Caenorhabditis elegans: one gene and its partner. The protein of the gene in region 1 interacts with the protein of each later gene in a pairwise test. Each region holds a gene or a part of one and is shown in the gene's direction. Other genes may lie near its edges.

Region 1 (4,221 bases):
TTTAAATGTCCATGGCTGACTACATTTTTCCGTATCTTCACTCATGTTTTTCCGATTCGACCGTAATATTTGATAAGATCAAACATTTCCATGACAATCCATTCCTAAACCAGTTTTTCTTCATTTTCAAAAACATTTTTCAGTATCACTAAAGACCTTTTCCCACCTTTTGCTATCTCTTTTTTTCAATTCGAAATTGACCTTCGCACCTTTTCAGAGACCGTCAAATTCTGACACACGATGGAAAGTTTCGAGAAGAAGACTTTCTGGCGGTTTTTGATGAATTCTGTAAAACAAATGGATTGTTTGCTGGCTCCAATGCTCCATCAACTGTAGCCGAGAAATGTTACACTAAAGCGGTAATACACAATGAAAACAGAACAAAGGTTAATAGATAAGAAACGTTTGATTTTAGATTGAAAAGTACATGAAGAAAAACAATATTAATGCAGAGGTGCAAAACAAATCAACACACTTTTTTGCAATGAATGAAAGTCAAATTTTCAAATATAGAAATTATGGTGATACAACATTACCTGATGGATACTCAATTGATATACCTGAATCAACAAATGATGTTATGAAGATTGTAGGATCATCTATCACACCAAATGCAAAATTAGTAGAGTGAGTTTTTGGATCAGGAAATTAAAAACCAACAGTACTAGATTTATATCATTTTCTCACAAAATCGAGAAATCGTAAAACAACAGTTACATGGAAAAATAGGAATTTTTTTCAGAGAAAAACTTCGACGGTTCCCATCGCTCTGCGTTCGTAAAGGCGACGAACTTGTTGGATTCATTTCTTCAGAAACTCACGGAGCACTTGCTCATTTGCATGTCTTTGATGTGAGTTTTACTATTTTCAAATTGAATATTTTCAAATCTGTTTTTAGGGGCATCGTGGTAAAAATCTTGGAGAGAAGTTGGAGATTGGAGCTGCTAAAATGGCTATTGAGTGAGTGATTTTTTGACAAAGGACTGTGGAAAAATGATAATATTTTAGAAATGGAATGCGTCCATGCAAGTTCATCGACACAACAAACAGTTTCTTCTTGGAAAAAGCAAAAAAGTCAAAGTTGATGGATGTTGTTGAGTCCAATGGAACACCGCTAGTTTTCGACCAAAATGTTTATTCCCAGGCGTCAAATTATGGAATGCACAAGTGATTTTAATAGGAATACAATGAACTTACAATAAATCAAATATACATGTAAATATTGAATAAAAATTCGAATACCTTCCAGCAAGTATATTTGCAAAGTAATGTTCTTTTACAGCTAGATTTTGGTCAGACAGTGTTGTTGAAAATTTTTTAGTCGAGAAAATCTAGTTATTCGCTGTTTATGAGTTACTTTTTCAGACAATTACACAATTTCCATGCTTGCTAAAAAAAAATTATTAGTTACAGTAACCTTTAAAGGCGCAGCAGCGGGGAGTGCACATCTCAAACGAGTGTGACCGTAGTCATTGGTGAAAATTGGCAACATTTTCTTGCAAGTTTTTTGACTTTGATTCAACCATAAATTTCAGACTTAATTCTAAACTTAAGTATTAAAAAATAATTATTTGATCTTATTTAGCGCGCATTGCCGCCAAACATTGACTTTTTGTTTCGAAATTTTGGGACAGAGATGGTTTTCTTCAGTTTTCTTTTGTTCAACAACATTTGGTTCTGTTCATTCATTTATTTCATTCAGAAGGATTTTGGCCCGTTTATTTGAATTTTAAAAGAGCTTATTTCTGAATTACGTCGCTTAAAACAATAATTTTATACCGTTTTGGCGCATTCGTTTTTTCTCGTTAAAAACTTATTTCTTTCATTCTTTAGACGGTTGTTATTCATTGCTCGCGGAATCTTACCATTTTTAAAATTTCTTTAAATTTCAGGGAATCAATTAACCGAGCACCCCACGCCTAATCACTAACCACCCATTTCCCCTGCACTACTAACGAAATAATGGATATGCTCAAGGAAAATGTTATCCAGAATAATGAGTGAGCCACTTTTATCATAGTTTCTCAATTTTAATTTTCTTTTTTAAGGGCTCGTACAGAGTCGAGTGTTGAACCATCGCATCCCGATATGATGGAGACTGTTCCGGAAGAACAGCAAAAACCGATTTCTCATATCGACGATTTGCTTTCCGAGACCGCTAACCTGATGGCTGTCAAGGAGCAGCTTCTCAAGGAGATTGCTGAGTAATTCTATAGGATAAATGGACTGTTTCTTAAATTTTATCTTCTCAGAAACGAGCATATTCATTCGATGCAAATGAGAGCTCTTCAAAATCTTCCACAGGAAGCTATTCTCCCACTGCAATATCATGCTGATCCAAGACGCCGTCACCGAATGCAAAAACCGGAATCGTACAAGACTGTCATATGTCAGGCTTGGTTGGAGTCGAAGACATGTGCTTTCGCGGAGAACTGTCGTTTTGCTCACGGCGAAGAGGAGCTTCGTCCATCTCTGTTGGTTTGAACATTGAATTAAGATTACACAACATATTTTACAGGATCGAGGCACGTCAAAACAATAAGTACCGGACGAAGCTCTGCGATAAGTACACTACTACTGGGTTGTGCCCATATGGAAAACGCTGTCTTTTCATTCATCCGGACAATGGACCAAATGCATACATTCGAGCCGATAAATTGTTCGAGGTAAGATAACTTTTTAATTTTCCACTTTAATCAAATCTTCAACAGGTTTCGCAACGTCATGCTTTGGCCGACCTTCGCGATCAAATGGAGCATCATATCATGAATGGAGGTCGTTCTACAGCCGGCCCTCAACAATTTGATATGTTTGCAAGGCCATGCACACCAGATGAGCCAGCAGCAAATATGCCATTGGGTCCAACCCCAGTTAGCATTCGTGGACCACGATACGAGTTGCCATCGAAGAAGCCACTTGAGACTGAGGGTATGAAAATTGAATATTGATGATTAATTCAAAATAATTTTACAGAAGCCGGGAATCGCCCACCATCAAGCTGGCCGTTGGATCCATCAACTTTCTTCGCATTGGATAGTCTGAATATGGCAACTCGTCCAATCAGTCCGTTTGAGTCTATGCTTATTGGAGCAGCCGGGAACATGCAATACTCTATGCTTGGAAAACAATCAACACCGGGAGGAGTTTCGGGATATTCTTCCTCTGGATCAACTCCGTCTCAAGATAGTGATTCGTCTCCACTCACAGCTGCTTCTGCTGCTGCAGATGCTGCCTGCCAAGCCAACTCGGAGTCTGCTCAGTCTATTCTTCTGAAGTCTATCAACAATCCGATGATTGGAAACGAGACAACTCTTCCAATTCCTGGACTTGATCAACTTGCCATGGACATTGCCAAGCACCTTGAATTGTGGTGAATAACCACCTCCTTCCCCATCTATTTATACATTTTGTCAAATTGCCATACGTTTTTATGTCCCATACTAACTATAATAACGCGCGCAATTTGTAAATATAATAAGCTCAATGTTCCTGTCATATAGAAAGCACGCTCGCTCCCCCCATCTCTCGCAGGCTCTGAAACTAAACTTGAATTATTTTGCTGCATTTTATTATATCGGATATCATTGCATGTATTTTCAATTCCCTCCAAATATAAATTGCTCGTATCCTCTCCCCACACTAACAATCAATAAACTTTATCGAATGTCAATCAATGTTTTTGAAGACCATCTGGAAATAACGTTTTTTCACGAAGATATCTGATTTTCAATTATAGAATTGCAAAATAATTTCTGAAATGTTTCGTTTGACAAAAAAATATTTTTTAATCTTCCCTCCAATTAGTTTCGCGACAGGGCGCATTTGCTTCGTCCAGACGAGCGTTAATTTTTCAACAGATTGAGCGCATTCTTTCTTTTAAATTATTGTTTGTGGTTTCAGGTGAAATAAATGGGTAAATTGAATCGATTAGCACTTTTTCATCGTTCAAGAAGGCAATGTGCTTACTCACCGACAATTATTACACGTGAAAGTAGTAGGTAAACGATAAACTAAGAAAATAAAATAACTAATTTTTTCAGCTCCTTTAACATCGACGAGGTAACACAAAATTTTGAACAAAGAACAGAGTTTGCCGCTGCAAATTATCGAAAGAATGGTCAGATTTCCTTGATAATAGTTCTAGGCAAAAAAATATTTTTCAGGCAGTCTATTTCGTATGGTTTTACCCCCGCCAAACGTAACTGGTAAACTGCATTTGGG
Region 2 (4,037 bases), on another chromosome or scaffold:
AATTTGCTCTCGAGGAGTTTTCAAAACCGTAAAGCGATGTTTTCAATGTTGGAAATAGTGGTTCTAACTACAAAATTTATTTCAGTGAAATGAAATTAAATAAATATTTGACTATTATTTATTGGCTTCTCTTCTCATCCGGATTCGACGATTTTGGAACCAAATCTTCACCTGTAATGTGCTACGTCTCGGAAAATTATTGAATGATAACAACTGATTTAAAAATTTTTTATTTTTTTCCTAGATTGATCTAATCACATCTTTACAACATACAATCGGATATGTTAGACTTAACGTAGAAGTTGCTGGAGCTCAGCCTGGTGGATAAATTTCGCAAACAATTTTAATAGAGAATAGATTTCTAAAAACAATAGAAACCTGATATTCATCTAGACTCAAAATCCTTGCCAATCTTTCCCTTTCATCACATCCAACATACTGACTTTGTGCAAAATACATTTCGAGTAAATATAGTTGTTCCACTGTAAATGTGGTTCTTCTACGTGGAATTCTGGAGGTTGAAGCTTCTGGTCTAACCATCATCAGTAAGAATGTAAAGACCATTTCGTGTTTCATATTTATGCCGTCAATTGTCAGTACAAGGGGCCGCCCGTTTTCGTTTCGTTTCGTTTAAATTATAGGGAATACATTATAAAATCACACCTTTTGTGTATATCTTCGTAGTTTTATTGGACATTTTAATAGGCCTTGTTTATAAAAGAAAATATAATAATGATGACATTATACAAAAAAGTATTCAAGGAATGTTTTATAGTTACAAAACCTATAGGTATACAGAATATGTCAAAATAGGGGAAAAAACTGAATGTATGCAGTCGACGAATAAGGTTGTCTTGACATTTTTTTGGTTAATAATGTTTTTCCTGCCAGTTTCGATATCTTTGAAATTTTGATCCAGATGACATCAATCCTAGCTATGGAATAATGGGGGAACTCTCTTTAAATTCACAACTTCATTCGAGCAAAATTTGTCTTTTGCACACGAAAAATTATTATTATTATTGCACAATCAAATATTTTTCCCCCGTGCAAGTGTGCAATGGGGCGACGGGTCGAGCCAGAAACCCGTGTTGTTGAAAATCAAACCAAGTGCAAAATATCCATTTTGCTTAATTTAAAACGATCTAGGATAACTCCACTAGCAACTAGAATATCTAATTGAAGGATTGAAATTTGGAAACTTACAATAAGGTATTCTATTTTATTACGTTTTCAATCTTGCTAGGAAAACTTGGAAAAAAAATCCATAAACGTTTCCCGGTTATTTCAGAAATCGATAGTCGACCTCCGTTGTTCCTTATCTAAATTTCATCAATTGTATCCTTTTTGATAAGACAATACTATCTTTTTATCACTACGTCTCCTTCACTCTAAATCCTAATGTAGTATCAATCAATTTGATGAAAAGACTACACTGGGGCCCACTTATTTTCTTTTTCAATCAAAATTCACACTTTATTTTATATATTTCTTGTAAATTGTATTTTTCTTCATTTTTAATTCTACTTTTTTTCAACAATTAACTCTCGAATTCTTCAATTTTTTACAGAATGAAAGGAGTTGTAGAAGGACAATGTGGACAGCAGAATGCTCTTGTCGGGTTAGCTAACACATTTGGAACATCCAATCAAAGAGTCGCTCCGAGTAATGGTAAGCTGGAAATATTCAAGTAAAAATTAACAAAAAAAAAAGTTTTTAGCTGCAGCTTCTCTTCTCCCATCTTCTTCTATGGGAGAACAAATGGCTAATGAATTTTTAAGACAACAAGCGAGAACAATGGCTCCAACAAGTTTCAGCATGAAGTCGATGCAGAATAATTTACCACAGGCATCAGCATCCTCAAGTTTGGCAGCAAATTGGACAAAGGAGTTTCAACCGCGACAGGTATTTCTAATGCATTCATATATTGGTATTTTCAATTGATTGCTTCAGAACCAGTTAGCGAGTCAATGGAGTCAACAATACACATCTAGTGCTCCAAGCATGGAATCTGCATGGCGTCAAGTTCAAGCTCCATCAATGACATCCACGTCATCACATCAACCAATAACAGATGCTGGTATGTGGTCATCTGAATATCTGGATACTGTGGATACTTCTTTAACCAAATCTTCTGGGACTCAAAACTGGGCTGATGATTTTATGGAGCAACAAGATAATTATGGAATGGAAAACACTTGGAAAGATGCACAGGCTTTTGAACAGAGATGGGAGGAAATTAAGAGAGATATGGAAAAGGACGAATCTCTTCAAAGTCCTGAAAACTATGTTTATCAGGTAAGATTTTTGTCTTCTTTAACACATTTTTATAACCCTCCTATTCAGGAAGCAAACCCTTTCACAACCATGTCAGATCCACTGATGGAAGGAGACAATCTAATGAGAAATGGAGATATTGGAAATGCCATGCTTGCCTATGAAGCAGCAGTTCAAAAAGATCCTCAGGATGCACGTGCCTGGTGTAAATTAGGATTGGCTCATGCTGAAAATGAAAAAGATCAGTTAGCAATGCAAGCGTTCCAAAAATGTTTGCAGATTGACGCTGGAAACAAGGAGGTAAAATTTGAGAAAAATATTTGATTATTTGATGCCATAAAATAGATAGGTCGCGATAAAATTCATATCTGTCTCTTAAAACTTTTTAAGAACAGAAATTAAGAAAAAAAAAAAAAAACTTCCAATAAAATCAAAATTATTTCAGGCACTTCTTGGTTTGTCTGTCAGTCAAGCGAACGAAGGAATGGAAAATGAAGCTTTACATCAATTGGATAAATGGATGTCTTCTTACTTGGTATTTCTTATTTTTATTTCAAGAATAATCCCACACGAATAAATATTTTAAGGGTTCAAACTCGACTCAAGTGACAACCACACCTCCACTCTACTCTTCATTTCTGGACAGTGACACTTTTAATCGAGTTGAGGCTAGATTCTTGGATGCTGCTCGGCAACAAGGAGCAACTCCAGATCCAGATCTTCAAAATGCTCTCGGAGTTTTATACAACTTGAATCGCAATTTTGCAAGAGCTGTCGACTCTCTCAAGTTGGCGATCTCCAAAAATCCAACTGATGCTCGTCTCTGGAATCGTCTTGGTGCTACGTTAGCCAATGGTGACCACACAGCTGAAGCCATTTCAGCATATCGAGAAGCTTTGAAATTGTATCCAACATATGTCAGAGCAAGATACAATTTGGGAATATCTTGTATGCAATTATCATCTTATGATGAAGCTTTGAAACATTTTTTATCTGCATTAGAATTGCAAAAAGGAGGAAATGATGCATCTGGTATTTGGACAACTATGAGGTTAGTTTATAGCTTTATATGTTAAAATCACCTTCACAAATTTCAGATCAGCAGCAATCCGAACATCGAATGTCCCTGACAATTTACTGAGAGCAGTGGAAAGACGAGATTTGGCAGCTGTAAAAGCCTCTCTAGTCTAGAATAATTACAATTTAAATACTAAAATAAATAATTATTTTTCCTCGAATTTTTTTACTTGGTTTTCAAACTTTCATTTTGAAAATCTCAATTTCAAGCCGATCACGAGTTTGGAAGGGTCATAAAATGTTATTACAGCGGTAAGAAAGCAGGAAGTAAACCGACCTAGCACAAAAAGTGTTCAGCTCATTTTGTTTTGTTTGTAGAACTCACATTGTTAGAGCTCAATGAAATGATTGAATAATGCCTAAATTAAAATAACATTCTTCAAGACTTCTAGACACTAAGTAATCAAATCCTATCATTTCTCTTACGGTGAATTTCTACAAAATGCTCAGAAATTCCACATGAGTCACCGTTCCATGAGTAAAACCTCGGAACATATGACTGATTCTATTTATTATCATCTTTCCGCCACCCTCTTCCAAACGTCTCACTCTTTTCTATTTGCCGGTCATCGAACACATTCTTCCTTTTCTCTTTCTGTCTTTGAAGCACATGACATGGCCATTTATCATGAAAAGGTACAGCTGGTTGAAGAAGAAGAAGATCCGAGAGAAACAGCTCCAAT

Evidence for each region. The genes of interacting proteins can lie anywhere in the genome.
Region 2: the proteins of oma-2 (region 1) and prx-5 interact in a two-hybrid assay, tested with the Caenorhabditis elegans proteins (one large-scale study listed by BioGRID).

The regions. Positions count from the first base shown.
Region 1 is NC_003283.11:8,027,547-8,031,767, forward strand, and holds oma-2 (CCCH-type zinc finger protein oma-2), read left to right. Parts: upstream 1-1,892; 5' UTR 1,893-1,962; coding exon 1,963-2,000; intron 2,001-2,048; coding exon 2,049-2,204; intron 2,205-2,252; coding exon 2,253-2,474; intron 2,475-2,518; coding exon 2,519-2,666; intron 2,667-2,711; coding exon 2,712-2,928; intron 2,929-2,973; coding exon 2,974-3,374; 3' UTR 3,375-3,668; downstream 3,669-4,221. Other genes in the region: F43H9.4 (Glycine N-acyltransferase-like protein), read left to right, coding at 218-359, 416-627, 743-851, 899-960, 1,009-1,171; vars-1 (valine--tRNA ligase), read left to right, coding at 3,910-3,998, 4,041-4,117, 4,164-4,221. UniProt on the Caenorhabditis elegans protein: Zinc-finger RNA-binding protein that binds to 5'-UA[AU]-3' motifs in the 3'-UTR of maternal mRNAs to suppress translation in oocytes and embryos.
Region 2 is NC_003280.10:8,703,254-8,707,290, forward strand, and holds prx-5 (TPR_REGION domain-containing protein), read left to right. Parts: upstream 1-1,570; 5' UTR 1,571-1,571; coding exon 1,572-1,671; intron 1,672-1,720; coding exon 1,721-1,905; intron 1,906-1,953; coding exon 1,954-2,298; intron 2,299-2,346; coding exon 2,347-2,577; intron 2,578-2,722; coding exon 2,723-2,812; intron 2,813-2,864; coding exon 2,865-3,328; intron 3,329-3,374; coding exon 3,375-3,468; 3' UTR 3,469-3,507; downstream 3,508-4,037. Other genes in the region: Homeobox protein ceh-7, read right to left, coding at 115-171, 379-576.